Linked DNA regions of Oreochromis niloticus. The protein of the gene in region 3 interacts with the protein of the main gene of each other region in a pairwise test. Links are inferred from orthologs where the notes say so. Each region holds a gene or a part of one and is shown on either strand. Other genes may lie near its edges.

Region 1 (10,604 bases), on a different chromosome or scaffold from region 3:
GACCCCGACTGTTAGAACCACAATATTGACCGTTGTGTGGAGGATTATGTGAGTTTAGTTAGTGAGTGATTATGAGATTATGTGAGTTAGTCTATAGGACTGACGGATAATCCTGTGTTTAAGACAACACAAACATCCAGAGTAGGTCGCTTGTTGGATGCTTCAGATGTTTTGAGTTTTAGCGTCACTGTTTTTTGCATTGCTGGAGCCACAGGACTCATACAGACGTGCCCTCGTGCATTCGACCGGTAAAGTGTGAACAAAGACATCCACCCTTCTTTTTTCTTCTTCTTCTTCTTTTTTTCTTTTTTAAGGAAACCTTTACTGTGCCTTTTGACGTGTGCGCATGTGAATGTTTAACATGAAACACAACAAGCCACTTCCACCATCATGTCTGTATGCAGCAGCTGCACGGCCAGCTGCATGTGCATCGGGACCAAATAATGTCCCCTTTTTTTCCCTATTTATTGGAACAAAAAGGGAATGCTAAAATGAATTAGAGGAGATGTTCACGGTACTGTTATATGTGAAATTATGTGTATTGAAGCAACCATGTGAAAATAAATTACAGTCTGTCAACAGTACGTTTGTGTAGTTTGATTTCATGTTGTTTTCCCAAACCTGACTGCACTTACTCCCCAGCAATACACCCACCATATGATGAACTGCTGTAGATGTATGTGGAGAAAAGGAAGACTTACAGAGATTACTTGATTTTTATTTATTTACATATTAGTGCAGGGGGACGGTATTGGCCTGGCAAAGACTCCAATCGGGCCTGCAGGACAGCTTTGGAAAATGTGAAGGAGAGTGTACATTTTTGGACCTTTTTTAACTGTAATTTTTATACATTTTACATCTTTTTCTACTGATAGGCCTCTCCCAAAGCCATTTATACTACAACTAAGTAATCAATTAACAATTAAATAAGAAAAAGTTCCTGTTGTTTAAGATATCACAGGGATTAAATGTGTAGTTAAGTACCTTTACATTGACAGAAAGTGGAGTTTCAGTCGTCACTTGGTTGTATATGGCCTTTGTTGTAAAATGAGTTTGACATTTCTTGAAGGCTGAAAGCTGCAGAGATGTTTCCTCAGCTGCTGTTTTCTTCAGTCAAGAACAAACTTTAAATGTCAGTTTTTCAGACACTGGTCCTCAGCAATCCCAGAAAAATGTAAAAATGAACATCCCCCTTCCATGTTCAGCAGTTATTAAAAATGTAAATAACATATGAAGACAGAGGTTAGAAAATAAAACCTTTATTAGAACAAAACAGTGTAAAAATGAGTTTGTCTTGATTTAAGACTCCGAGGCAAAAGTGGTGGCTGTCAACAAGAAAAAGTTGACGAGCCCATAAAGAAGACAGACTTTTAAAGTGCCACACGTCCGATTTATAAACGGTCAGTCACAGGATCACTGAAGTCTTAATATAAATTAAATGTTAATATTTAGCCTTGCTGTGATATCTCTCCTTTGTCATTTTAACTGTTGAAGGTGACTTTGTTTACTTTGGCATGTAGTTATAAAATTACTTTAGTGTCACATAATCAGTAATCTTCTACAGCTGTTACATATTAATGGAGAATTACTTAAGAAATTAGCTTTATTATTTAAACTTGTCCTCACTGTTTAAAAAAAGAAGACAAGAAGGAAATAAAGAAGGCAGCAGTTCTCTGTTGGATACAATTAATAAATGTCCAGCGTTTATCAAAATAAAGATTTGGGATTCTGTTTTTTGTGTAACTAACTCACTAAAATGCAAATCAAAGCTTACTTTCAGGACACTTTTGCAAACGGCTGCTTTTAGCATCTCTCTGTTTTTGGCTCTCTGCAGACTCGGGGTCAGATTTCACGCCTCACTTCCTGCCTAACAAACAGGCTTCACTCACAGACAGCGATGATCACAGACACTCACTGCACGGCTCATCACGTGCCACCTGTTCCCCGTTTCTCAGGGGTCTTCACCTCCATTCACAGCTATAGAGAATCCACATCGAGTCTGTGTCTCTTCAGCAGCCACTGTTGCGCCGCATGAAGGCGTGGCCCCTCACGGGGTAGAACATCTCTGTGAAGTTAAGGGGCCCCACTGTTATGTTGCTGGGGCCCAGCACTTTAAAGCCTGACTTCTGGTAGAAGGGGACCAGAAAGTCCTCACACATGAGCACGGCGCGGCGGACGTAGGGCAGGCAGCGGAGGTACTGCAGGTAACGCCACATCAGGATGGAGCCTTTTCCCTGCTGGCGGAAGGTCCGGTGGACGGCCAGGACGTGGATGTGAACGGTGGTCCCGTGAGGCTTGTGGAGCGTAAGGGCGTCCTGGAGAGGAAGAGGAGAGCTGTCAGAAGAAGTAAAACATCCTGCTGGGTACCCACAGAAATATTTAAAGCTTAAAAGACCCCCAAAAGCCATCTTTAATAATTAAAGCTAAATGAAGTGCTCAAGTTTAAATGACTGTGGTTTCATTAAAAATAATTTGATATTGGAGTTAAAATGACTTCAGCAGGATTCATCATCATAACTTTTAGTTAAAAGAATGAAAAGTAAATATGAGAATTAAAAGATGGTGAATAAACTCTTGAATGATAATGATGATTGTATTTGGGATTAAAAGCTGCAGTTTGTTATTTCAAAAACTAAAATATTTTGAAAATATATCAGCTACATGTTGACTCCAGCCTGCAGTCCTCGAATATTAAATGTTTATAGCAAACACAGAGTCTTTCATTCTTGGTTGGATTCACATAACTGTGTCATCAAGAAGAAATTTAAGATTGATTTTTTTTTTTTTTAATTGTTTCTACTTTGTGGAAACTTAAAACTCGTACAGCTGTAGCCTTAAAAGAAATTGTCAGGCAGCTTCCATGATTATTGTTGTTCTCTCTTCGGCTGGCAAAAAACTCATCTGTCGGCAAGATTTATCACCATCCACTGAATTTTATGCACTTGAAGCGCCTCTTAATCTGTGTTGAATCTTTGCTCGACTCTCAACCGGAGATAAATCACTGTCCAGGTGTCTTCCGCTCCGTCTTACCGTGGTAAGCCTCTCCTGGTCCCACAGTGAGCCGATGATAAAAGCCACCAGCCGTCCCTCCTCGAACCAGCCAAGAGACAGCTCAGGACACAGAGTGAGGAAGTGACGCACCTCGTCCAGGTGGAGAGGACACTCACCGGAGACAGAGATGAAAGCTGTGTGAGGAGGAGGAGGAGGAAGAAGATAAGGGTCACGGTTGCCACAATCAGACAGTTGTACTAGTTGTGCAGGATGTTAAAGCTGAGCGTGATGTTCCCAAATGTACTGACTGCCAAGCACAAGGAAAGTGTACAGGACAGTTAACTGAAGAGAATCTACCCGTGAATAACATCAGTGATGGCTCAGGTTTGTAGAGAGCTTTCTATTCAGTAGGAGAACATAAATAAAATCTGTGTTATTAGCTGAGAATCTCTCCCCGCAGTTTTCTTAAAAGACGCTTCGCGTGCGTAAATCTGCATAAATACGCGAGTCCTCTGAAGAAATTCAGGCAGTTATTTAAAAGCGCCATTGCTCTGTAACGTAAGTTCAAAGAGTCTGCTTACCTTCTCTTTCAATCTCGAACACACTGATGGCATCTTCCGGGCTGAGGGAGCGGAACTCGCTGGCCGGCAGCGTGTGGCGGCGGCCCTGAGGCACCGGAGAGCGCATGTGGAGAGGCTTCAGGAAAGGCACTGCGCTCACCACAGACATAGTCTTGATTATTCCCAGAAAGTTTCACAGGAAAGCTAAGAGTGCTGCGCTGACAATTTCTAGTCTGACTTCGTGTCAGTCTCTTTTTTAACAACGAGATGAATTGTCTGGGTGTCCGTGATCCGTGCGTAACGGTACCGTGAGAGCTGGCGCAGACTGAACGGAGAGTGGAGCGCTTCCAGTATTTATACCGTTTGTAATCCTGAAGTGAGCTGTATGGATAAACCCTTTACTCCCCGTGAGTAAACTGAACCATAAACATATTTACAGGCGGGATAAGCGTCATGCCTCCATCAGACCAACCGATTTGGATTTGCTGAGTTCCCAACACCAACAAAATGATTTTCTGGCTGGTTAATCATCAGAACGTCAGTGATGATTAATGCTGTCACACTGAGGAGATTGCGTGTTTCTTAACTGGGCCATCTTAACGGCTCGACTTACCATTCTTCATGTTATTTCTCTGAAGGAGACTTTTGTCTATCCATAGCCCCTTTAAGCAGAGTTCACGATTTTTCCATGGGTTATTTTTCCAGTTCTGTAAGAGGATTAGGCTACAGGATGTGTAGGAGGTTGTTTGTCACCTGGTGGGGGTTTAAGTAAGCTCCCTGAAGAATTTATCCTCTCCAAACAAACTTTTACCCTCACGAGATGAAATCATAAAATAATTTACTGCATTTTCTCACGTTTAGAGGGCATTTCCCATCAAATTAATGCAAACTGACACCAAGAGCAGGACATACAATGCTTAACAAATATGTTAGAACACCACCTAAATGTAAGGTTTATGCCACAGTTACACTAAATTAACAATACTGATGATTAGCAAAATCACTTTTATGTTTGTCTAATAGTAAATTCATCAGTGTGCTTATTTAATGCTAAAACATAATTATTGTTGTCATCCTTGAATTTACAAAAAAAAGCTTTTTATTAAGATAACAAATCAAACCTATTTATTTACAGTGCTGAACAGAAAAATTAGTTTCAGTGGTTGACTTTTGTGCTCATGTTTATATGTCAGGTGATGTAATAAACGTAATGGGGACACCTCCTTTTGTGACACTACACAGCTCTATCCCCACATTCTTCCTAAAAGACAAATTTTACATGTTGTTGTCTGCAAAACTGCAACTGTGCTGAAGATGTTGAGACAGTTGCGACAGTGCTGTTCAGCAAAGTAAATATAAAGAATCTGTTATCTGTGTTTTCTCCTGTGTGTTTAGATATGAGACGGTTTCAAATATTGTTAATGCCGTGTTTTTTTTCTGCACTCCCTAAAGGTTTCATCAGTTGTTTTAAATAGAAGTCTTACAAGAACCTGTGGGACAGTGGTATGGTGGTCATCACTGTTGCCTCACATCAAGAAGGTCCTGGGTTGAATCCAGACTCTGCAGGGTGTTTTTTCCCCCTGTGTTTTTGTAGCAACTTTTTGGATACAATGTCTTTGTCACAAAGACATGCCTGGGTTGGGTTATTCGGTGGCTGTAGGTGTGAATGGTTGTCTTTCTCTACATGTGAATCTTGTGATAAACTACTGACCTGTTCAAAGTATTCCCTGCCTCTCACTCTGTCTGAGATAGGTAACCCTGAATCAGATAAGTAGAAGAGGATGGATGTGTTGAAGAAAGTGTCACCTTTTAATCTCCAGAATATTTCCTGCTTTTCAGTCTTTGCAAATTTATAGACCTGTTCCTTTAAAAACAGATTAAACTGTCATGTATTCTATCTCCTGTAACACTAATGGGCTTTACTTTGTAAATGTCTTTGAGAACTTGGAAACTGAGAAGATTATCATAACCCCCCCCCCCAAAAAAAACAAATCAAAAACAAAACAGATTTATCCTTAAAGCAAGCAACTGATGTTTAATTATGAGGCACTGAAAGTTAATAAACTCAGGTTACTTCAGATGTATTTGGGGTGGAAAGACGTTAAATAATAAATTAAAGGAAAACTTTCTTTTATTGTTAACTGAGCTGCATGTTTATTTGTATAGTGTTCACTGTGCAACAATATTAAATAATTTAGGTAAGATCCACATAGGATCATGGATCTCATTTACACACACACACACACACACACACACACATAGAGAGAGAGATGTCTTTTTTTAACTATCGTGACTTAAAAAAATATAATTAAAAAGGAAACATAACTAAATATAATGAAATTTATAACAATAAATATTAGAAATTTACATCAGAAAACGAAATGTAACCATTAAAATATTGGCGTAAAATAAAAATGTACGCAGTTAGAGTAAGTTAGAGAGTCTCTCCCATCACCTGATTATAAATCATACTTTACGTACAGCCTGCGGTCTTTCTCGGTGGCTCCTGTTTCTGGCTCTCGGCACCCCTCAGTGGTGACAGCGGGTACTGCGTGATGACGCTGCCACACTGCGCTTCTTACGTAGCCTGCGTAGCTACGTAAACACGTGCGCTTCGCTGCTTCCAGGTTACAGTTTTTTTTATTCCACCGTCATCCTCGCGCTCCAGCATCACTCCCTGACAACAGCGGCGATGGCGGAGCCCGTAGCATCGGATGCAGCGACCAAGACAGACGCAGCAGCAGCGGCATCATCACCCACACCGGGCCTCTCTCCCGTAGCCAGCCCGGGCTCTGAGCCTCTTTCCATGGCTCTCTCCCCCACCGCGGACGGCTCACAGCGGCTTCTCTTCTCCCACGACCTGGTCTCCGGACGATATCGCGGCTCAGTCCGGTTTGGCCTCGTACGGATGATCCACGGCGAGGAGGATTTTAACTCGGACTCGGACCTCGACGATGGCGGAGGGAGAGGCGGAGACGGCGGCGGCGGTGGAGGAGGAGGCGGACGAGTACCGTGCGGTTCGGACACTGAGAGCGCCGTGGACACCCCAAGTCGGCCTCTCGGGAGGGGATTTGTCCGCGTCCAGTGGTACCCCGAAGGTGCAAAGCAGGACATCAGGGAGACAAAGGTACCACACAGCTGCTAACGTGCTCACTGTTTACCCCGGCAGTCGGTGGTTATCTCAGCCTGACGTCAGGACTGCTTTGTTTCACCTGCCTGTTGTGGTTTTTCGGAGAGGGGGTGATCGGTGGACTTGTTACCCAAGCAGTGATCAGCTTCACCTGATCCATCCGACTAAAACCTGCAGCCTAGCTCGCTAATTGGCTAGCATTCAAGCACACACGCTAGCTAGCAGTTTAGCTCGTAGCCTCATGTATCTCAGCTGGTCCCGACAGGCTGAGCAGGGTTGATCCACCTGACTGCAGCCAGCTCGCTGCTAGTACACCACACACACACACACACACACACACACACACACACACCACTGACCGGACAGGTAGGGGCTTGCACAGGTCCTGTCAGGTGCACCTCCCTGCTTAGACACCTTACACCTATTGATTAGCTCATCCTTGACTCAGTGTAGATCCATAGCTGGGTGTGACCTGGCCTGAGACCAAGCTTTGTGTGTGATAGAAGATCTCTTATTATTATATAAATATACACATCTGAGTTAAGTCTGTTCCCAAGCACCGTGGTCAGACCAGGAGAACGAGGCTCTAATCGTTGCCTTGTCCTCTCTATCAGCTGCAGATGTCTTCCAGCTCAATCACAATTAATGAATTAGTTGAACAGCAGGGATTTAATTGGAATTTTTTAAATGTTTTTAGAGCATTTTTTTTCATTTACTTTTCATTGTGTTTATTATCTAACTTCATTAGTTTAGAACATTGAAACCAAAATGGTGCTGCTTCTTTTGCATCATTGTGAGCATATTTTTGCATCTTTCTTGGCTGCTGGTCAGATATTTTAATATAATTAAATTTTGATAGTGCAGATGTGCTGCACTGAGAGTTTATAGTCTATGGCTGATCATTTCTAATGCTCCTCTGTAGCAGGGTTTTACATATCTAACACACTACTTACTTCCACCCAATTATCTGCTCGATCTACCTCCATGCCTTGAGGTTCTGTAGTGTCCTTTTAGTCATTTGAAACCAAATCTTGTTGATTACTGTGCTTTGTATTTTCTCTGTTGCTTCAAATGTCGGGAACGTTACCAAAGAAGATTTGAATTCTTTTTTTGCACAAGTTCTTTCACTATTTATTGATTGCTAAAACAGTTCTCTTTTAGGCTTCGGTCACACAGACCTAAGACCGGTTGGAGAGTGGTTGCTGGAGGTTGCTGTCTGTTGCAAACTGTATGCTGCACCAATAACCTCCTTGTGGTTGCTGCAGCCGCCCGTAGTTTCCATGGAAGGTGTCAACATGCCCGTATTTGCCAACAAACCATTGAGCGCTAGTGAAATTTGCGCCGCTCACCTTTAATGTAAGAGTTGTACCTTACTGCTGAAACCACCGTGTTTCAAAAGGCATAACTCTTTACTTTGAAGGCAAACATTAGCTATTTCCACACAAGTGTTGCACTCTTCAGTTTCACAGCCACTTGGCTAATAAAGAAGTCAGTGTCTTCTCTGCAAACGACGAGTGACCACAGCAATCACAAAGAGCTTTTTAGTGCAGCACCCTGTCTGGGCATCAGTGCCTGGAGATTCGGTTAATTCATAGTTTCAGATCATCTTTAAGGACATTAAACCTAGTGTAAGTTATATTTTTTAATTTTTAATCAATTACATCACTCCTGATGATACAGGACTTTTTTTTTTTTCTTCGTTGGTGGTGGTTGGACATGATGAACCTGTATGTTAAAAAAAAAAAAATCAGCTGACATTGTTGATCAGTAGTTTGTTCATACTGCCAGTATGATCAACACTGGGGCGATTATGTGGAGTGCAACCAATATGAATCAATACCTTTTAACTGAGATATCAAGGTGATTGATTAAAATTCTGAAGGCTATTGAGTCTGAACTTAGAAGGTATGAAATATAGATTTAGACACCTGGACGCCATTCATTTGTTTTGAAGTTTAAAGTCTGCATTTTTAAAGTAGACAGCAAATATTTGCAAACCTCTGGTGATTTCTCTGAGTGGTAGCAGTCAGTCCAAATCAGACTGCAACTGCTTGCAGAAAGATTGCCACCCATCAGGTAGGATGAGCCCCCGGTTTGTAATATTCCCAAAGTATTTGTATTTAATGTATTTATTTAATGAAATATTGATATTTGGCATCCCGTATCGAAACAATATAACTGTGCAAAAATACACTGACACTATGCTGTATTGATTTTGTTTTTTCTTTTTTCCTTTTTCTCACTCATAATAATTAACACAGAGTACCACACGAAAGCATGAATGCTGGTAACAGTGCCAGCCTCGTATGTAGACACTTAGATTTTAAGCTTTACAAAAATTGACCAGAGAAATCTAAATGAGCCGTAACACTTTGACTGTCTGGTGCAGTCAGCTTCTGCCTGTATTTGTCTAAGTGGCCACGCCCTGAACTCCAGTATCCTTTCTTCTTCTTCTTCTTCTTCTTTCGGCTGCTCCCTTTAAGGGTCACCACATCTGCATCCATCTCACTCTATCCCTCGCATCCTCTTCTGTCACATCAGCCCCCTGCATGTCCTCCTTCACTACATCCATGAACCTTCTCAACATCCTTTGTCATATATATTCACTATCCCTCCTCTGCACATGGTCCAACCATCTCTGCCCTGCCTCTCTAACTTTTTCTCCAAAACCGTAACCAGAGCTGTCCCTCTGATAGCCTTATTTCTTCTGAGCATCTTCAACTCTGCCACTTCCAGGCTGTCTTCCTTTTTTTTCTCCTCCAAACCATATATCATACAGGTCTCACAGTCATCTTCGAAACCTTCCCTTTTGCTTTAGCCACTATTCTTCTGTCACAAATCACCTGTGACACTCGTCTCCACCCACTCCACCCTGCCTACATGCTCTTCTTCACCTCACTGTCCTTACTTCTGCTATTCAAATGGATGAATTACAAAAAATTCAGAGGTTAAAACCATTTTTCTTCTGGGCAGTTAACATGCTTTTTAATGCTGTAAATTCGAACATTTTAACATGGAAGTCTGTAGTGACTGGATTTTGGAGCAGCCTCGAGGAAAAGCAGTGTGGAGCGCTTCAGCATCAGACCTTGAATTCAGCCGAATCTGGACAGTACATATGTGATGTTGGCACAGAAAGTCGCTAACCTCTATCGGTGTAAACTACACTCTCAGCGTTTTAAAACCTCTTGTCAGTTTCAGTTCAGTTAGACATGTAAATTGTTGCGTACATCTTTGTGCAGTTTTACCATTTTACCACCAGATAATGAGGACATTTTAGCTGGTGCAGACTTTGCAAACCTGTTGTTCTGTGCATCCTCTAAGCTTCTCTGGGGTTCTCCTGGGCTTTGTGGAAAAGGGTCACGGAGTTTAAAGGAGGACAGGCCTGGAACAAGCTCACACAGACTCATTTCAGAGACAGGATGTGACCAGAAGAAGCCTATTTTAGGGCCCAACGCTGCCTTGCTTTGTCTTTCCAGTTAAATGAGAAAAGTTCTGGTCTGAGTGTCATTCAGACCTCAGTCAGAACAAAGGCAGAACGACGCGCCCCTTAAACAATGACGCCGATGTTTACGCAGCACCATCTCCTCTGTGTTGATGTGCACATGTATGGGTTTCATTGTGTGTCGTATTCGTGATTTCTCCTGTGCTTGTCTGCACGCCCAGTCTCAGCAAGCTCATTTTGCATAAATCCCGAGAGTACGGTTTTACATCCTAATCAATAATTCATGATCACATCCTGCAGTATGCAAAGTTGCACATCTTCAAGGTGCTGTTTGCACAAAATTCCAACTTTTTTTTTTTTTCTGCAGGCTGCACCTCATGCTCACTTCACGTTTTCTCTCAGGAGCCATCAGTGGAGGGAAAAGCGATGCTTAGACTTACTCTCGGGTTTCATAAAGCAGACATTTTCACAGCGAAATAGG
Region 2 (10,680 bases), about 8.8 Mb from region 3:
AAGTCATAAGTCAGTCTTCACAGCCTTCTTCAGGACTCCCTTATCCAGCAGAGACAGATCCTCCCCAGCTGCTCCCTCTGTCCACGCAGTCTTGCGTGGATGGCGCCTACCTTTCTCCATGTGTGACTCCACAGTCCCTGCAGCTGAACCTGAGTCACTCTCCCCATCCAAGCGTTGACTTGAGCTTTACCTCGAGCCCAGCGTATGACCTTCCTCCCATCGAGCACTCCCCGTGGACTGAGTCAAGTCTTGACCAGCCCTACCAGAAGAGCAAGAAGTCGCGCTCGTCCATCAAGATGAGGTAACCCAGGCTATCCATTATAACTCCTTTCCTGTTTATCAAGTTGTGAGGATTGGAATTGGAAACACAAACTATGATTTGTGATGTTATGTAAACGAACGTTGGATTCTTTGGAAGGAATCCAGTTAGATTTTTTCCAAAGAACCCAACGACCAAATGAGGTTTAAAGAACAACAAAAAAAGATCCTTTCACTTCTAAAATCTAAAAGGAAACTGTTAATTAACACGTTAACAGTGTAAGAAATTCCTTTACTTCAAAACAGGTCATCTTCATCTACTTTAGAGAAGCCATTTTTAAAAAGTAACCTTTTTTTCACTACAACCATTATTGCTCTGAATTAAATAGAACAGTAGTCAGTGTGCAGAGCCAACTGAGAACTGTAACTCTATACAAATGTATATATAGAAACTCCTGCCTCTGATAATGTGTATTCTTCTATTTGTTTTCATTTCTAAAAGGAACAATTGCTGTTTGCCACAGTATTAAATCACTCAATGTTTGATATGTCAAAATGCATTTGTCAAAGTGTGTGTGCGTATATGTCCACACTGTCCACCCTTCATGTAGTACCCACATTAAACATTCATAAGAAATATTGTTATATTAATTACTCTCCTATGTTGTGTGTTCAGCAGCCCAGCCAAACCTGAGTCTTTGCCACCTTTGGATGCTTGTTTAGCACAGTCGGCTCTGCCTGTTCAACTTTCCCATCTAAAGCTGAGTCGCACCCAGTCAAACAGTACACCCTCCACCCCAGAGATGCGAGTGCACAGACAGCTCTCCCTCAGGTAGCTATACCTCACACATATCTGCATGTTGAAATTGCACCCTGTGTGGTGCTCCTTTACTGAATGGATTATTTAAAAATATAGTTAAAGTTATTTAAGCCTCATGCAGTTTCTTTGCAAAGTAGCTTTGTTATTGTGTTTGTTATAATTATTGTGGTTTGCACAGGCTGTCCTCTCCTGACTCTGCATTTGAAAAGGAGCGCGGTCGGCCCCGAGGCCCAAGGAGGCGGCTGACCGAATACTCAATAACTTTACCAGAGACTCCATCCCCTACACTGAACTACAGAAGCCATGCTAGCTCTGACGACAGCAACTCTGAAAACTCGTTTCCTTCTTACAATAGCTCCCCGTGTCGGGAATTGCCCGGTGATTTGCCCAAACAATTTCCATCTGCATTCCTGCTCCCCTGCCCAGTTGGCAGCTATGGACCTCAAGCTTTCCCACATGCTGGCTTTTACCGTAATCCCCGGCAGCAGCCCAGTCCTGGTATTCCAAAAGCCTATTACAATGAAGAACGGGTCTACAATGAGATGGATATGCCACGAAGCTATTTCCCCCAGCAAGCTCCTTGTTCCTCGAATAGATATGATAATAGGTATAAAGACACTGCAGTACCTCACCAGAGAGTACAGAGGCCTTTTGCTCCTGATATTAGAATCACCCCGCCAGCAAATTGGGACCATCCACAATGCCACATGAATGGTCTCCCACGACAAGTAGTGAACGAACAGCTAAAGTCGTGGCACAGACGCAGTCAGCAAAGAGCACCCAGGTCTCGTTCCCTTGACAGACAGGGAGCAATGCGGATGAAAAACGTGTTTGTCGGAGAGTCGCCCTGCTACCAAACTCAGCAGTACCATGAGCAGGTAAATGAGCTAAGCTTATTCGTTTTTTTCAAAGCATTTCATTCTGCTTTCTTTAATAGAGTCATAAGTAGGTGAGAAATTGAACAATACATAAATGCTGATATGATACAGACAAAATGTTTGCATTGTGATGATCTGACACAGTAACACTGTACACCTGTCTCCGTTTTTAAATGCTGGCAGCTGTTTGAAGTGAAAGTGAACAATTACTTTGTGTTGCTGCGACAGGGAGAATACTCTGCTTTTTACTGCTGTACGTACGTCTCCACATGTTCATCTTTTCTTTCTGTTGATCATTTCCAGGTTATTCAAAGAGGGACTCTCCACAGAGCTGCAGAGGGTGCTCAAGGCCACTGGTTTGGAGAGGACGCCTCTCACTTTTACAGCCAAGTATAAAGAGAAGAAACTTGGATGCCAAACTTAACTCTGTTAATGTAAAGGCAGCATATTTTCCCATTATACCAAAGTGAGATAGAAAATTGATGTAGAGCATTTTTTTTATCTCTATCAGGACTTCTCATGAAAGCTTTTGTTATCCTGGAGTGAAAAATTGGAGCGTCTTACAAAACAATGTTACATGGCACAGCACTAACTATAGTCTCCAGGTTACCATAAATCAGACATCCTCAGAAATGTGATTGCAGTGTTTGTTTGATTTTCTTTGTTTTTTGGCCATTTTAATATTTATAGGTTAAGCATTGATCTGAATGCCAGTGAATTACTATTAATGAAGCAGCCAGCTAAATTTAGGTCAATCCATTGATTAAACCTTGCAGGTTTCTTATCATTCCTTCACATCTGAAGCAATCAAACAAAATGAAAACTGGAGGAAGAGATGACATGAGTTCCTACGAAGAATCAGCTACCAAAATGTGCATAATGTAGTCAGATGTAAAGTTGTATTAGAAATGAATCTGGGATGAATTGATAACGCCAGATTGATATTGAACTACCTTAGGTACTTTAGATCCACACTAACATGTTTTTGTTTTAAAACACAATAGATGTGCGTCCTGCATCTATAACATGCAGAATTAAACAGGGTTAAAAAATAATGCTTTATGGTGCCTTAAATGCAGTAATGTGGACATGATGTATAAATGTATTAAAATGTGTTTTAAAACAAGAAAATATATGTGTTAGCACGGCCTTAATGTAACATAGATGTGGTTATCTCTAGCTTAAAACAAACCAAATAATTAATCATTTTGAGAAATGTACCCCCAGACAGAGAAGCTAAGTTTCTGCTGTTTGCTAGTTGGAAAACTAATATACTCGTTTTCATCCTACCTGTATGAAGGAAAGGAGTCTACTGCTAAAATAATGCAAATTAGCAACACACCCTTTATAAGTGTGTGTTTGGGTTGTTTTTTTATCATGTTACCTGAGATTAATTAAGTCACAGTTTTAATGAACTTGTGCTGCTTTAATTCAAGATCCCAGGTTTGATCTCTTTATCACATACTTACGGAGGCAAATTTGTCTCAATGTTATACTTAACTGGCACAGCTACAGAAACATTTAACTTGAACTAACAGATTTAAACAGCTAGTTGAAACTAGACACTAACTCATTCATGTGGGATGGTGGCAAACTGAGCAGAGGCTTGAGGCTTGGCAGCTATTAGCGTGTCAAATTGTAATGTTTTGAACTTCATCTGTGCCTTTACCTGCGTCTGAGAGAGCAGTTCACTAACCTTTCTGTTAGCAGCAGTAATAGTTTGACACTGAGGTAGACACAAACACTCCAAGCCCACCACTCTCAACCAAACAAACTTCAAATAATAGATATTTGAGAATCAGAGTCATGTAGAGCGAATTCAGCTACAGATACACACTGACTGGTCTCTCACAGTAATCTATTTATCTTAATTTATTGTGATTTGCACCACTGGACCCGTGAAAAGTCAGACTTGAAATTAAATAAAATGTGGACCAGAGTTTGCAAAACAAAACAGGTGTCTAGTTTACAAAAAGAAAAACAGACCACAATCATGTTACCCTTTGTGTCTCTTTTTTTTACTGTCTTTTTTATTTATCATTTACTGTAGTTTAAGTGGATTTATTGTGTTATGTTGCTGTTTTTAAAAAAAACCTGTGAAAGTGTTTTCCCTGTGGAGATGAATAAATATTATTGTTGAGTTTAATTAGCTTATATTGTAAATGGACTGATTCTTATATAGCGCTTTTCTACTCTCCCGGAGTTCTCAAAGCGCTCTATACAACACACCACATTCACCCAGTCACACCCATTCTCGCAAGCACTACCTCTATACTGAGTGCTTTCTAACTAGACTCACACACATTCATACTCCGATGGATGCATCGGAGAGCAACTTGGGGTTAGTATCTTGCCCAAGGACACTTGGCATGCAGACTGGAGGAGCCTGGGATCGAACCTCCAACCTTCCGATCAGTAGGTGACCTGCTCTACCTCCTGAGCTACAGCCACCCCGAAGGTCCCGTTACAACGGGACCTTTGTAATACAAATATTTCCTGAAGACATTTTGACATATCAAGGTAGGGAAAAAAATTGATGTAAATGTACGCAATTATGGCCATATCGTTGCTTGAATTATTCATTTTTAAGATGCTGGCTCACTATCACACTGTCTGGTCATCCTCAGACACAACCGATCATGTGACTTGGACTATCACTGCCTTTTGTGCAATCTACCTTTGAAAGAGCAAGGATGGCATACGCTCATACTAAATATGACAGAGAAATAACAAGAGGACTGACAAAATATTAATTATGAAGTTAAGTGTTTTGGGGATGGTTTTACATTTAGAGTAAATGTGCTGATGCTAAAATTTTTATATAAACTTCACAAATAAAGAAAACGGTGTGAGATGAAGAAACACACTACTTAGTCATTTATGATTAAAGACATCCTCAGAAATGTGAGTGAAGTGTTTTTGTTTTTCTTTGTTTTTTGGCCACTTTAATATTTACAGGTTAAGCATTGATCTGAATGCCAGTGAATTACTATTAATGCTATTAACATTAATTACTATTAACATTGAAGGGAGAAACCCACTTTGATAAACTGTAAATAGAAAATGTTTGCATTAATATTTGAGACATTACCCATAACAGCAGGTTAGCCACTGTTTTATATCTGAGATGCACAAAGTGTAAAGAAAAAAAATATTACCATGTATAGTCTTAGTGTTTCCAGAAAACTGCACAAGTCTACTTTTAACCCCCTTAGTCATAAAAGGCTGATGGGTTATTATCAGGTGGCGTGGACACCCACATTTGTGAACATAATAACTGGAAAACGAGAAAAAATAGGATTTTTAAATTGTTACTATAGATGCAATAACTGAAAATCGTGGAGGGGTTTAACTATTGGTGATCTTGACTTAAAGGTCAGAGGTCAAGTTTTCTGAAAATCTCATGAACATGATAACTCAAGAAGAAAGTTATATGAAGTTTCACATTAATACAATAGCTGCATCTATAGGAGGCTGGGGGGTAGCACAGGAAGGCACAGGTATAATTTTTTTTTCTTAGCGTGTGCTTTGTTGGTCTTCGTTAATCTTAGTTTTGATGTACCACACACCATAATGCATTTTAAACACAAGCACTGTCTGTGTTAAAATATATTTGAAATTACATTTTGACATTTACAGATAGAGGCACTGTACCTCTGAGTCATTCGAAAGGGATTATAGCAAGGTTGATATAGTTAGAACTATAAAAACAAAATTAAAGACAAGCGTGTGAAAAAAAACTATTTTGGTTAATTGAAATAAAAATAGATACTGAACAATATTGTACACATAAATTATACAGAAATTTCCTTATATTTAGCGGCTTGACACAACACTTCAAAAAGTGTTGTACAAACAATAATAAAATCCTTCCAAACTGGAATAATTGAAACGAGTTAAATTATTGCTGAAACGAATAAATGGCTAAAGTCAAAACAAAAGCTAATTAGAAGAAACGAAAGTGTAATAGTTATGCACGATAGTAAATTAATTTTTATATCATTTACATTTAAGATTAAGATTATTTATTTGTAATTTTAAAAAGATGCGACAAAATTACGTTTGGTGACTGTCAACGGACGACGTGGGATAAAATTTGATTTATGCAGAGCTATATGCAACAACAGGAGCATATAAAAACATTTTCTTGACTGTTAGGGCAGCAGACCACATCAGCAGTCAGGACTTATTTTGGTTATTTACACGAGTGCAAAGATTCCAACACTACGCAAATTATGTACCATATCAGTCCTACCAGTTATTGTGTAACGGGGTAGGGGCTGCACTATTGTCTGTTTTACATTTGTAAACATTTACATTTAAAAACAATATTTTTACATTGTGTAAGTCATTTTGGAATTGCACTGACTAAAATTAATTATTAAAAACCTTTTCTGACCTCGTGAAGACGTCTGACTTGTTCTCGACAGTCGAATGGGTGCTTTTATTTTGAAAGGAGAACTGGATTCGGCTTACAAAAGAGATTTCAACTTCCGGAAAGAATTGTGTTTCTCGTCGGTAAATAATTCACCTTCCTGGTTTGAAGGCTACCCTGCCAGGTAACTTTTCTGCTTTAAATGAACTTGTCATAAAGGATCTTGGGACAGTAAAGCTTCTAGATAATACTTCAGACTGATGAATTCGTAAATACTTTTATTATTAAGTTAATTCTCTGAAAATTGTCCCCTCTTCAGCGACAGCTCGGCGCTAGCTTAAAGGAAACGTTAGCAACCTGATATTATAGCACCTCAGACCAGCTCATTATAAGCGTTGTCGGAGAAGGTAACAATCAATGCTTTACTCCTTAAAAAGTGTAAGAAAGCGTACTGATACTGAGAATTTGTATCAAATCCTCTGTATCTTGGTGTTGTTTACATTTTGTGCTCCCTGTTCCGTCTGATGCTGTGCTAACGTTAATCAACATCCGTCTGGGAGCCTGGGCTAAACAGTAAAATGGTTAAATGTGTTATGTGTGCTGTCAGTACTAGGGTTACATCATAAATCGTTATCCTGTCTGAAATAAGAATTGCCGTCGTGCTGTACTTGTCTGGAGACGTACAGCTAACAACAAGTTTAGCCACTTCTTTTGTTTCCTTGTTATTTTTCGGTCAGTAACACAGGCGTTTCATGCGAAGCTCACATTAATGTCCATTTTTTTAGAAGTACTAGACGTATTAATTGCACTGTGAGTGCTAATTATTGAGCTGCTGAAGCCCTATGAAATTACAAGTAGATGGGTTTATGGCAAAGACGAGTTATTGAAAACCTCTTAAGAGGTTTCATTTAGAGTGAATGTAGAAAATCAGCAGCATTTATCTGTAATAAAGTGATTATTTCTAACCAGTTTTGTTAAGCGGGGTTCATTTCCTGAAGCACAGTGGACATTTTGTTTATCAGAAGTGCAGAAATAACAGGAAAATGTTTAGCTTTAATCAAAAAACAAGGCAACACAGACAGATTGCGTTCCTTGTTCTCTTTGTTTTTCTACAAAGGCTTATTCTCAGTTAGATAAACCTGAAGCAAGCCAATGCAGACTATTTATACTAAATGTTTTATAGTAATATAATATAGCAGCTTACTAATAGTGACACAGTAACATGGAAACAGAAACTTCACTTACAAATGAGGCCAACTGAAGCAAATTGGACTGATGGCTTTATTTTACCACAGGCACAAAAAAAAAAAGAAAAGTGTTTAACATCAGCATCAGCGTTCATAGGATATACCATTCATTTGATAAATGTAAACTTAACCTGTTACATTCAAATCTGCTTATTTAAATATGTAGGTAGGTAGGTTAAAGTCGGTCACCTCTTTTCTCCTCACTGACAGGCTCTGCCTTCTCAGTTACTTAAAGCTGATCCCCTTTCAGACCAGGTTTTAGGTGACATCCCTGGTCTAGAGCTCCATATTAGTGGACATACTTGTCAGGTTCTAAATAAAAAACACAAAATATCCTGATTTGCTTTGTTTAGTTCTTTTAAATATTCCAAATTCAAGTCGTGGACAAAGCAGTTCATTTTTATGTCTTCAGGTTGTGCTCTGGGTGCTTCGAAATGAGTCTTTTATCCTATACAACAGAGATATCAGCCAGTAACACTGTTGGCCTCTTGCCTCCAGTTATCATCTCATAATTAATTCTAGCTTATTTGCATTGTGAGGCATTTTTGTCTGTAGATAACGTAATATTGGTCTTATCACAGATATTCGTTTTTTAATTGTGGTTGTTTTTACTCTTCTTTTATTAGTTTATTACTTTTGTTGCAGTCTTTAGTTGTGTAGTTTTAATCACTGAGTGTTTCGAGGACTGAAGAGAACTGGAGTCAGACTACAGGAAGGTGTTGACATACTTAGATTGTAAAGCTGATTGCAATTCTGGTGCCCCCCAGGAGGAAATTCAAGTATACCATCTGAAGCAGAATACATCGACTGTGAGTGGATCATCAGGCAGTCTCCCTATGTCAGGCCGAAACGGGTCTGCCAGTGATGCAGACTGCCGGATCTCTGAGGACTGCCAGGTCCCAGATGTTGAGCTGATGGAGCTGGGGCCATTGCTGGAAGAGGGAGGGGCGCGGCAGGCAGTATCCAAAAGTGTCCATCCTGAGGTAGGAGGACTGTTTCAGAATAAGCAACAAAGAAAGAAGCTGTTATTTCTCTGTAACTTCAGTAGTGTCGTAACCTCTTTAAAGGGAGCCGCAATGCTTGCTGATGAGGAAGAGGAGGATGATGAGGTGGGTGAGGTTCTGACCTTACCACTACAGGCTCACCATGCCATGGAGAAGATGGAGGAGTTTGTACATAAGGTAAAAAAAAACAAAAAAAACCCCCAAAAAGTCTTTTAATGCTTAAACAGAACTCGTTGAGGGAAAAAGGCTAATGAATTGGCCTATTAAGAATATGTCAGTGTTCTTAATAAATCACAAGACTCTGTGTTCATTAAGTAAGTAGTCCACACAAGAGCAATGATGAGCACTTCTTTTTTGTACTGAAAAATGTCTTTCATATCTAGGTCACAGTTCTGTAAGACACATTTATGGAATACTTCTTTTTTTTTTTTTCTTTAAATATTATTGGTTTGTTTGATTTTGCTTCAAACTCTCAGACATGTTTCCATATCATTTTTTTTTTTTATTCATACACAATCTTTAACATGCTGAATATAACTCCTGTATTGTTTTTCATTTTTCTGTGTGTTTTATTTGAAGACCCTCACAATAAACTCAGAATTTATGCCTCTGTGAGCAAAAGTTATTCTTGTTTTTCAGGTTTGGGAGGGGCGCTGGAGAGTAATCCCTTTTCATGTCCTGCCAGAGTGGCTGAAGGACAACGATTACCTCCTGCATGGACATCGACCACCCATGCCATCCTTCCGGGCCTGTTTTGGAAGCATTTTCAGAATTCACACTGAAACAGGAAACATCTGGACTCACCTGTTAGGTGAGCATTACAGACTGATTAGGAGCAGATAAAAATTTTCATTATGGTCAAAAATATTTTCATCTGGGTCATTCTGCATATTTCTAGCCTGTTTTGTCTTTCTCAGGGCTGATCTTATTCCTGTGTCTGGGCACATTAACCATGCTGCGGCCCAACATGTATTTTATGGCTCCGCTGCAAGAGAAGGTTGTGTTTGGGATGTTCTTCCTGGGTGCTGTGCTTTGCCTCAGCTTCTCCTGGCTTTTTCATACGGTCTACTGCCACTCTGAGAAAGTGTCTCGCACATTCTCCAAGTAAGGCCTCACACTGTTAAACGGTGCTTTGCACATCATGAACGAATAATTTCTGTCAGACTAAATAAACTCTCATTTGTTTATGGAGGCTGTTAAAGTTCAGTCGCATCTTCAAATCACACATGGAACTCGAGCTTGTCACCTTGAGTGTTGTGTAATATTGATTAAATATTTATAACTCTGTGCTAAATCCTCTATAGTTTTTGTTTAATCATCAAGTGACTTTAGTATTTATTTTAAAACATGTTTCTGTTTGGATGTTTAACTGATACACACACACACACACACATATATATTACTGTAAGAACAGGAGGAGCTAGTTATTTGATCCCAACCCTTTCTGTCCATGTTCCAAGGGTCATTTAACAAGAACCTGACCCCAGAGTTTGTCAGTGCTTTTATTGATCTGTGGTTAAAGATGCAACATAGGAGTATTTATTGTGGCAGACTTGAAGCATCACTATACTTCATATACCCACAGCTCATGTTTACATAGCAGTTATCATATTTCAACAATATATGTTTTGAACAGACCTGGAAACGAAGTTCTGTTGTTTTTCTTTTTCAGAAGCATCAAAAAGTTTTTAGTTTTTGCTTCTTCTAGATTAGGGGTGTCGCAGCATAAGGCCTGGGGGCCAGAATCAGTCCGTGAAAGACTCCAATCTAGCCCACTTGATGGCTTTGAAAAATATGAAGCACAGAATGCATTTTAGACTTTTAACTGTATTTTCACAAGTTTTACATCCTTTCTTACTGATAAAGACCTCCATTCATACTACACCAAAGTAACTAAGTAATAGATAAACAATTAAATGACAGAAAGTTCCTGTTTTTTCACTGTCTACTACAAATACTACTACTATAAAACAAAAAGAGGACATTCTCTCAGTTCACAAAAATTATCTGTTTTATAATTGCAGGACAGCCTGCACAATGAGCTAACAGAACTTTTTCTGTAATTTTACAGCTTTATTTCTTACAATTTAAGACCAAA
Region 3 (10,698 bases):
TCCAATGGCATTGGTATGGGATTATTTTAGGGGGGGCATTGTCACCCAGTCCCCTTCTCTGGATATGGTCATATTATTAGTGAATGAATGTGCACTGAAGATTGTTGGGTTTGAGCTCTAGATAAATTTTACTGTAAATAACCTCTTATTCATGCCAAATTAACAACTTCCTGTTTGATCCAGCAGTAGTTTATGTGCTACATATACTTCCTGAAAACCTGATGTCCTCTAAATCCCACAGCACTCTCTTCACTGGAGCCTGGGCCACTCCGGAGAAGCGGATGTACACCATCCCTGGCGTGTCATCTGAGATGATGGACGTCATCATCAATTACGCCTACACCAAATCTGTTCCTCTGACAGAGGATAATGTGGTGCCCATTTTAGCAGCTGCAGACCAGTTCTTGGTCCCGGGGATAATTCGGGCCTGCTGCTCCTATCTGGAGGACCAGCTGTCTCCGGAGAACTGCATTGGCATCTGGAAGTTGGTGGACTTCTACTACTGCCCTGAACTGAGGAAAAGGGCCTTCTTCTACATCCTGCATCACTTTGAAGAAATCATCGGTACCCCAGAGGAGCTGCTTGATCTCTCTGAGCAGCAGCTAGCCGTTGTACTTGAGAACGATCACCTCAATGTGAAATGTGAAAACACAGCATTTGAAGTCATCCTCTTGTGGATTGACCATATGCCTGACCAAAGACAAGGAAGTATCTCTGTGCTGCTGCCCAAGGTAACTTAACCACAAATCAACTGTAGCTGTAGTCAGCTTAATAAAACATGTATCGTAACATGTATACTAACACCCAGGGGTGGCAAACATGTAGTCCAGGCACCATAATTGGCCCGTCAGAGGGTCCAACTCAAAAGTTTTTACTTCAAAACAGGTGTTTTGTATGTATAAAATGGGGTTACGGTTAAAAAGAAATGTCAAATGTTATAACAGCAGAATATTATATCTGAAAACATATCAACACATATGTTAAATTGCTCCCCACTAGTGGTTTAATTTGAATTACAATCAGTTTAGTCAGAAGTTGGATCATTTTGTGTGAAAATCAGTGTTTCCACAACGCACTTGTATTTTTTTACACTTAAAGCAAGAAAAAATTTAGAGGAGTGACTTTTTTTCATTGAGGCCATTATGAGATCACATTAGGCTGCATGTGACTTAATTAAAAATTAGCCTGACACCTTTGCCTTAAACCCTCATTCTTTATTTGTCCAGGTACGGCTCACGTTGATGACCTCAGAATACTTCCAAAACAGCGTCATGAACAATGCCATGATAAAGAACAATGCTGAATGCATGTCCATTATCAATGAAGTCGTGGAGGTGTTTCAAGCTTGTGGTCTCAACAGACGTCCACAATTCATTTACAGTAGCTTGCTGAGCCGGCCACGTCTGCCTTCTTCCATCTTATTGGTCACTGGAGGCAAAAATCGCTCCACTGCACGATGCAGCTATGAGGCATATGATTACCGAACCAACAGCTGGGCCACTGTGGGCTGTGACATTCATCGTGCTCACCATGGAGCCGTTACCCTGGATGGCTTTGTCTACTTAATTGGTGGCTGCAACCATGAAACTAACTTGAAAACTGTGCAAAGACTTGATCTCAGCAGCTCTACATGGCAACTTGTGACACCCATGTACAATGCCCGGTGCTATGTCAGCGTTGTTGTGCTGAATGGATGCATTTATGCCATGGGAGGCTTCAACGGAGAAATATCCCTGAGCAGTGTTGAGTGCTACAAGCCTGAGACTGACCAGTGGACCATCGTGGCAAGAATGAATGCACAGCGAGCTGCAGCCAGTGCCACAGTTCTGCATGGAAAGGTACTTGCAAGGAGACATGACTGAAAGCAGTGACCAAACTATGTTGTTTTCACTTCATTGTTCAGCCTGACAACATGTTTCTTTAAGCCAGACTATAGGAACAATTTAATGACTTTTCAGGCTCAGTGAATGGTGTAATATCATCCTAGAAACAACCACTCCTATCAGAATAGAGGTTTTTCTTTCATTTAGAGCACCATTCTATTGATTTGACACTTGTCTCCAAGGTGGACCCAAACAAAGCCACCATTAAAGAGATAACAGATACCCTTACACTGTTTTCCATTTTTTCTTTGAATTTTTAACCTCTCCCTGTATGTCCTGTAAAAATGCAGTAATTGTTGCCATTTCTTTTTCCGCTATTAGATAATATATCTTTATTCCTGAACCTGCCTACCAAACTCTGATTAGCTCTTCATGGATAATTAGCTACTTTCCCTTTCAGCTGCTTCCTTTTACTACAAATAGCTCCACAGGTTTGATTTTGCAGTTTTACACTTGATACCCTTTCTGTCACAACTTCAAAGGGAATTTGTGTCTGCTGGAATGAAACCAGCAACCTTTCACTTGCCAAGCAAATGTCTTAACTACAACTGTGTTGCCACTACACCGTGGGAGGGGCTAGCGCTTCATGAATAATAATTTGCTCTTAATTTCTCTTAATCCTTACTACAGGTTTATATCTGTGGGGGTTTCTATCAAACTTATAGCCTCCCTACAGCTGAATGCTACAATCCAGACACCAACCTGTGGACCACAATTGCTCCCATGATGTGCAGGCGAAGAGGCCTGGGGGTTATTGCTTACAAAAACCAGATATATGCAGTAAGTGTACCACAGTAATTTTCTTGTACTCTAGAGTAACTTTGCAAGCTTCACAGTTTAAAATAATTGTTATTTCTCTTAAACTGAGCCTTGGCGCAGCTCCCAGTTCATTGCTTAGTTAATGTAGATTGCATACATAAAATCATGCACTGTGCAGGGCCAAACACCTACACAAGCTGAAAGAAACATACCACCATGAATTTGACTTTAGCATTGTAGGGCATAGATTGCATGACATAAATCATCCACAGTCTCCCCACGGTAGTTGTCAGATCTAAAAACTATCCTGGTGCTTTGTTGTCTGTTGCATGTCTTCTTCTTCCTTTACTTCATGTTCCTTTCTCAGGAGCTTCATTTAGACTCTGGTCACTGGGGTTAGGTCCCTTAAAGTGCTGAAGGTTAGAACATGAATACAGAGCAGTCATTCAGACTTACTAACAAATTTTTCCTAGTGGCCAGTCGCAGCATTGCAGTGAGGAAAACATGTCCAAAAGAGTTGTATTTCATAGTTTTTTTTATTCAGTGGTACTTCTTTCTCCTATGAACTCATCCCACTCTCCCACTCCCAGGTTGGTGGCACCATTAATGGGTACACCCCACTGCGTATTGTTGAGGCCTACAACCCTATCACCAACAGATGGCGCCTCCTGCCATCTATGCATTACCCCCGCAGCCACTTTGGAATTGAAGTTGTGAATGACCAGCTCTTTGTGGTCGGAGGATATGGTGGCTATCACTGTATGTATTCTGTGGAGCGCTACGATGGGGAGGCCGGTTGGTGGTACAGTACCTCGGACATTGCGGAGTCCCGCAGTGGCCTGAGCTGCTGCGTGCTACATGGATTCTACAGCTTGGCGGAGAATTTGTTCCCTCGTGATCCCCTAATGCTGCCTAATGTGGATGAGGAAGGTGGAACCTTCTGACTTCAGCTTGCCTGTTATCATAGTAGCATTTTAATTAATTAATAATAAAAGTTTTTTGCATTATTATTACTTTATCTATATATTTGTATGTTTTATGTGTATTGTATTATAGTATGATTTTGGTCAGATTTATATTAATATTAATATTAATATTAATATCATGGATAAGTATACATACAGTATATATAAAGAGAAAGTGGGATAGTGAGGGAGCTGAAGAAAGTAGACAGGACTACTGGGAGGCTGGTTATACAGCACAAAGAAACATAGCAAATGCACCTCTACCTCTAAAGCAGGGGTCTCAAACTTAAATGAGCTGTGGGCCAATGCTGGCACTGTCATCTCATTGGAGCGCCACTTTAGTACAAAAGAAACAAACAAGAAAATATTGTATAACAAGACAAAAATGCAAACATGAGCAAAAATTTTTTTTTCTCACACTTAACTGAAGCCATTCATTGAACTACCAAATAAACAAATTGTTACTCTCTTTCCTCCTTGCTATAATTTTGTTTGTATATAACAAAATAAAAATGCAGAAATAAGTGTACAAATTAGTTTTTGACTGCTAGTTAAAATTGTTTAACTCTCTCACTGAACTAACACAACCAATCCCTCAACATGTTTGTACTCTCTGCTCATATTGCCTTTATATTAAATAATTATTTGCTTTCTAAATAACTTATTTTAACATTGCACTCAACACTAAAACAAATCCTCCCTAACAAAAAAGTTACTTCAAGGGCCAAATTGCTTTATATTTCTTCACTTCAATACATGGGCCGCAAATAGGGGTGACGTGGGCCGCAAGCGGACCCCTGGTGGTGACACCCCTACTCTAAAGGTTTATAGTAAGTGATATCTTAGGCTGGACACTGAGGAAGGAGAAATAACTTGTATTGATTGGCTAGGCAGTGAAATCAAGCTGGAAAAGATTAATCAAGAATAGAATGGAAATGTACTAACAAGTGAAGAGAGTGTGTTGAGAAGATGGAAGGAGTACTCTGAGGACCTGATAAATGAAGAAAACGAGAGGGAGGAGAGGATGTGTTGGATGAAAGTTAGTGGATCGGGAAGTGTAGAGGATTAGTGAGACTGCTGGGATAGAGTGATATCTAGCTCTGAGGCCACTGATGTTTGCAATGGTGATCACAGTGGTCAACAGAAGATGTAGTCAGGAGTCTCCCTGGACTATAAGGTTTGCAGATGTCATTGTGAGAGTATGGAGAAGTTGGGAGAAAGCCTGGAGCAGTGGAGGTGTGAAAATTAAAGTATAGGCAGAAACAAGTACGAGTATGAATGAGAGGGAGAAAGGTGTAACAGTGAGGCTACAAGGACCAGAGGTAAGCTGGAGAAGTCTAAATATCTGGGATCAACTGTCCAAAGTACGGAGACTGCACAAGAGAGGTGAAGAAGACAGGCATGGAGTAGGTGGAGACAAGAGTCTGGGGTGATTTGTGGCAGAAGGATAGCAGCAAGAGTGAATGGTTTGAATGTAATCAGACCTGCCATGAAGTACGGTTTGGAGATGGTGGCACTGACAAAAGAAACAGGAGGAGGACCTGCAGGTGTTAAGATTTTCATTGGGAGTGAACAGGATGGACATGGTTAGGAATGAATATTGTATGAGAGGGACAACTCAGAGTGTTTTGGAAACAAAGTTAGAGATGCAAGGCTGAGAAAGTTTTGATATGTGCAGCGGAGGGACAGTTGATATATTGGACAAAGGATGTTGAATACAGAGCTGCCAGGCTGGAGGAAAGGAGGAGCACAGAGAAGATTCATGGATGCAGTTATGGAGGACCTGCAGAAGGTTGAAGATGCCCAGGATAGGATGAGATGGAGGCAGATGATTCACAGTGGCAACCCCTAAAAGGAGCCGCTAAAAGAAGAAGAGTTATTATTCAGCTCATCATCATCATCATCATTTCTCAACAAACAATTATATTTGTAAACATGGTCATTTTACACTGAAAAAAGAAAATAGGTGAACCAACTTAATTGAATTATTTCAATTGGTAACACCTAATTTAATTAAGTTCTTTGAAATGAAGTTAATACATTAGATAAATCAGTTGTGTTACTCTAATGTATTAACTTCATTTCAAAGAACTTAATTAAATTAGGTGTTACCAATTGAAATAATTCAATTAAGTTGGTTCTTTTTTCAGTGTATATGGTTTGTGGTAATAATTTTGGAAAGTTGAACATTTCAAAATTTAAATATCTGTTACAAAAATACTATCCGTAAAAAACGCGTTTTAAAATATTGTACACAATGTGGCGTCAGTAAATTTCTGAATAAGATTAAAAAATATCTCAACAGGAAACTCGCCGAAGTAGTCGCCATTACGGCTCTGACGTGTACGCGCTATCCCTCTATCGCTGAACTGACGGTTAGAGCCAAAATGGTGAATATTCCTTTAAAAAAATAAGCCAATCACATTGGCTTCATTTTCTTCTATCCAATCCAAAACCCCGTAGAGGGCGTGGCATGTGGAACCGGGAGGAGCTGTTTTGGGGTGTTGTGAATCCGTGTAGCCCAGAAATCCTGAGTGGGAGTTGTCGGACCGATTTGTTGTGTGTTTGTCTTGCGTTTCTCAGAGATCATCGACACGCCTGCAGCAGCTATGCCCGGGATAGAGAAGCTACCGATAGAGGAGACGCTGGAGGACAGCCCGCAGGTAACAGCTCTACTCCCCGAGGGCTTTAGCTAAAAGCTAATGCTAGCCACGTCTATAGCTAGGCTAACTGTCTTTGTAGACTGTTTGCCAACATCCATCGGAATGATGCTAATCGCTAACGGCACAGCTAATCACAGCTTCTCAAGCTGGATACTTCAGCTATGCAGTGGGATCATAAACTGACTGCTTTATGGATCAGGTGGTGGAAGCTTTCGCCAAGCTGTCAGATCCTGAAATGTCAGATTTGGTGCTGGTTAGCACATAAATCAACGGTTAACCTGCAACTTCCGTAGCCACTTCGCTAATCATTCCTCCCTCTTGCCCAGTGATGGTTATCTGGTCAAACACCAGTGTTGTGTTTCTGTTGGTGTCACACCGTGCCCAAAGCTTCAACTGCACTGCTGCAGATGGACAGAAAAACAACTCGAGCAATGATGTTGTTTCCTGAAAATCTTAGGAATAACACCTGCTGTGACATCACGGATTGAGGTGTGGTCAAAGTGTATAAACTTACCTGGTTTGAAGCTGCACATACCCAGGATTTACTTACGTTAATAGTCAGGATAATCTGGGTATCGGCTCTCAAAGCACAGGGAAATTCTTGCTGCTGTCAAGCACAGAAATCATTTGCAAGAGCCAAAAGAATTTGCATAACTGTTCTTTCAACCCTGAAAATGTAATGTGGCTATCTCATGTTTCTAAGAAATTCTAAGAGCATTAAAATAAGGGAAACTAATTTTGACGAATGCCTGTACTCTGATGGACTGAAACTCAGACATATTCATAATACAAAGATAAAGTTTTGCATGATATGTTAAAGTTATAGAGTAGAAAAAAATCAGCTGACTCTATCAGGTTTGGGTGGGAACTTTTCAGATTTGCTGGTATGACTCTGCAGTCTTTGCAAAATCTTTTAGTCTATATAACTAATGATTTATGCTTCATCCACTCCAGTCTCTTATTAACTCTCTCGGTGTACATTAGGCGTCTGCTCTGTTATATTTGTAATTTAACAGTGGGAGCTGGAGAGAAACCAGGTTACCGCAGCAGTAAAATCTGATTTACAGCAGGGTGAAATACATTCAGGATAATCACACAACATGTTGCAACCATTCAGCTTTCAGGAAAACAGCCTGAGAGTGTGATTTATTTCTCACAGTGACTAATGCCTTGAAAATGACAGGGACCAGCAGGATGTTAAGACACACCTTGAGAGCAGCAGTAGTGGGTGCAGGTGTTTGATTTGCAGAAATGGATCCGGGTGAAGTTTTTGGCACTTGCATAGGAAATAATCGGGAGCAAGTAAGCTGAGTGTGGTTTCAAAAACAGATCATGTAGTTAAATCAGCTGCATGATGTTTGTTTGTTTGTTTTTGATGGTTTTTGTTTGCAGACACGGTCTCTGCTGGGAGTTTTTGAGGAGGACACTGCAGCCATCTCCAACTACTGCACACAACTGTATCAGGCCATGCAGAGGATTTATGATGCACAGGTACACATGTACACACACATACACTCACTCACTCACATAAACACAAAATCAATAATGTGCTGCTGTTGGATAGTGTGTGTCCAGCTCTTAGTGCTGCTGATTTGTCTTCCAGAATGAGCTGAGTGCTGCAACACACCTGACCTCCAGACTGCTGAAAGAATACGACAAACAGGTAGGAAACACCATATTTGCCCCAACCGCAGCACAAGTCTACACACTCAAACACTAGATTATTTTATTATTTTTATTATTATTACAAAGAAGTGCTGGACACTAAATATCTGAAAGCTTCACAAATGAATCACCCTTGAACCAACTGAGATCTCAGTGTGGACATTAAGCTTAGGATCAGGACTTTTTCATAGCCAGCCGGCAAAATATAAATGACTAACTTTGTGTTGTGCATGGATTGTTTCACACATTCCCTTGGGGGAAGTTTGACTTGGCTGAGATACCTCACTATTAACTTCTAACTTGGCTAAACTTCATCAATCCTATTTTATAATAATACATTTTATTTGTGAGCGCCTTTTTAAAACCCAAACTCACCATACAAAGCATAGAAGATAAATGGTAATAAGGATAAAAATCAGCATTAGACAATAATTAGAGTCACTTCTCTGGAGAATCGTTTGGGAGTTGAAAGAATTTGGACTGTTTTTAGCTCCCAGTGGTGCCTCAATATTTGACTGATTTTTGGAAACTAAGGAGGATTCATGCAATTCAAAATACTCCAGAAGCTGTCTGGCCCACTGCTGCGGGCCATTCGATCCTTATACAACCGTTGCAAGAGCTTGGTCCGCATAGCCAGCAATAAGTCAGACTCCTTCCTGGTGGGCGTTGGACTCTGCCAGGGCTGCCCTTTGTCACTGATTCTGTTCATAATTTTTATGGACAGAATTTCTAGGTTGTAGGCAAGTGGCGGAAGGCTTCCACTTGGGCGGTCTCAGAATCTCGTCTCTTGAGTTGAGTTTTCTAAAAGTTTTCTTAATTCTGCCGTAGTTTCACTTTTAAAATTTCTTTTAAGCTACCCCAATTTCCCTAAGAATGCTCCGCCTTTTTCGAAGTCACTGTTCTGAAAAACATTTTTGGAGCCAGCTTTATGTGGTCAGTTGGGAGAACTGCAGGTTTTGGCACTGCTTGGTGTAGCTTCCCAGTCTTATCACACAAGCCACAGGCCACACAGTATAATAATAGCCTCACTGTTATAACAGCCTATCTTTGTTATACCAATAGACCCTTAAAAAAGGGCAATAAAATACTAAATGTCAGCCTTGTAACACCATCCATTAAACTTATCACCCTAACTGTAATCCTGTAACAACGAGCCTTCTGCTCTTATCTGTTACTTCACACACATCTGCCTTTACCACACCTCTGTCAAATTTAGTCTGGCCATTCCTGTCTTCTAGAAACAGCTTTGGATCAGCATTATTCAGATTTTTTCTTTACCATAATAGAAAATATCAGCGATTTTAATAACATCCAGAAATCTGTGTGTTAATCTCAGCTGTGTAATGTTTCCTTATTGTCGCTGTTGTTTGCAGCGTTTTCCTCTCGGGGGTGATGATGAGGTGATGAGTTCTACCCTGCAACAGTTTGCAAAAGTCATCGATGAAGTGAGTTAGGTTTGCATGTTTTGATGTCCCAAACAGGCAAATTTGGTGCAAAATAAAAAGAATAAGAAAAACTAGTGTTATATTTGTATTTGTTGATCTGATTCATGGTTAGGATTTTAACTTCCCCCTTCTCTTCCTCTTTCTAGCTCAGCTCCTGTCATGCTGTCTTGTCCACCCAGCTTGCTGATGCCATGATGTTCCCCATTACTCAGTTTAAAGAGCGAGACCTGAAGGGTAGAAAACACTTTAAGATCTTTCACCCAGTTTTGAAACTGCTTTAGAGACGTTAATAATGCATAATGTCAATTTTCAGTTTACAAATTTTATTTTGCCATCAACAGTGACACATAATTTAAATTATTTTGTGCATTGCTATGTTAGTTGTTTACTTTTAATATACATATTTAATATTTATGGTAGTAGAATAAATTTGAAGCAGCAGCCCTTGCTACATAAACAGATGCACTTTACTCTCTAATGTGAGTTTTTTTTGTCTCCCCAGAGATCCTTACACTTAAAGAAGTCTTCCAAATAGCCAGTGGTGGTAAGCTGTACCTCATAAACTACAGTCAGTGCACTTTATCGCCTACACATTACGCTTGCATTGCACCTCCAGTCATGAAAGCCCTTCCCATGAAGCCTCTGGCAGATAGGGTTTGTGCTGATGTTAATAACAGATGAGTTTTGGATCTCTGCAGAGTGATGGGGACTTTTACGTGCTTTACCTTTTAGCACATGCCGACCTCGCTCTGTAACTTGATGCGGTCTGCCACTTTGTGACGAATTTGCTGTGGTTCTAAACACTTCCTGTTTGTAATAATACCACTTACAGCTGGTAATAGAATATTACATTACAATATTTCATAAACTGACTTGCTGCCAAGGTGGCTCCTATTAAACTGGTATGCTCAAATGCAGTAAGCTCTTTAGAATGACCCATTCTTTCACAAATGTTTGTAAAGACAGACTGTATGGCTAGGTGTTTGATTTTATACATCTGTGGAAATTGGACAGAAAATTCCTGAATTCAAACATTTAAAGGTGTGGTTGAGTACTTTTGTACTACATATACTTTATGTCTAGATAAATCACACATGTGCAATATAAAGCCATCTGATTCTGACCCGCAGTGTTTGAAAATTAGCTTAAGAGGCAGTATAATTCTTGGCCAGTCACTGCAGTGAGACTTTATTGCTGTTTAATTCAGGCAATGCAGCAGTTCATATCATACAGTTGACAAGACTTACATAAATGTTCATTTAACATTTAGTACTTTCATTCTAACCTCTAACCATGTTTCCATTTGATCTTGGCAGTA

What was found.
Region 1: the proteins of appl1 (region 3) and ube2o interact in binary tests that used the Homo sapiens proteins (3 or more experiments, as listed by UniProt). The two-hybrid records come from large-scale screens. The link is inferred for Oreochromis niloticus from reciprocal best matches to the Homo sapiens genes APPL1 and UBE2O.
Region 2: the proteins of appl1 (region 3) and adipor1a interact in binary tests that used the Homo sapiens proteins (3 or more experiments, as listed by UniProt). The link is inferred for Oreochromis niloticus from reciprocal best matches to the Homo sapiens genes APPL1 and ADIPOR1.

Annotation. Positions count from the first base shown.
Region 1 is NC_031971.2:27,312,175-27,322,778, reverse strand, and holds the start of ube2o (ubiquitin-conjugating enzyme E2O), read left to right. Parts: upstream 1-6,205; 5' UTR 6,206-6,243; coding exon 6,244-6,678; intron 6,679-10,604. Other genes in the region: aanat1 (serotonin N-acetyltransferase), read right to left, coding at 2,010-2,315, 3,031-3,185, 3,573-3,720. UniProt on the Homo sapiens protein: E2/E3 hybrid ubiquitin-protein ligase that displays both E2 and E3 ligase activities and mediates monoubiquitination of target proteins. Negatively regulates TRAF6-mediated NF-kappa-B activation independently of its E2 activity.
Region 2 is NC_031970.2:24,622,846-24,633,525, forward strand, and holds the start of adipor1a (adiponectin receptor protein 1a), read left to right. Parts: upstream 1-6,385; 5' UTR 6,386-6,515; intron 6,516-6,585; exon of another isoform or gene 6,586-6,738; intron 6,739-8,345; 5' UTR 8,346-8,414; coding exon 8,415-8,561; exon of another isoform or gene 8,562-8,570; intron 8,571-8,645; coding exon 8,646-8,759; intron 8,760-9,221; coding exon 9,222-9,393; intron 9,394-9,499; coding exon 9,500-9,686; intron 9,687-10,680. Other genes in the region: inavab (innate immunity activator b), read left to right, coding at 1-301, 935-1,090, 1,257-1,956, 2,260-2,352. UniProt on the Homo sapiens protein: Receptor for ADIPOQ, an essential hormone secreted by adipocytes that regulates glucose and lipid metabolism. Required for normal glucose and fat homeostasis and for maintaining a normal body weight.
Region 3 is NC_031970.2:15,828,069-15,838,766, reverse strand, and holds the start of appl1 (DCC-interacting protein 13-alpha), read left to right. Parts: upstream 1-6,068; 5' UTR 6,069-6,216; coding exon 6,217-6,270; intron 6,271-7,662; coding exon 7,663-7,761; intron 7,762-7,873; coding exon 7,874-7,933; intron 7,934-9,308; coding exon 9,309-9,380; intron 9,381-9,526; coding exon 9,527-9,614; intron 9,615-9,882; coding exon 9,883-9,924; intron 9,925-10,698. Other genes in the region: kelch-like protein 10, read left to right, coding at 242-731, 1,227-1,838, 2,514-2,663, 3,233-3,586. UniProt on the Homo sapiens protein: Multifunctional adapter protein that binds to various membrane receptors, nuclear factors and signaling proteins to regulate many processes, such as cell proliferation, immune response, endosomal trafficking and cell metabolism.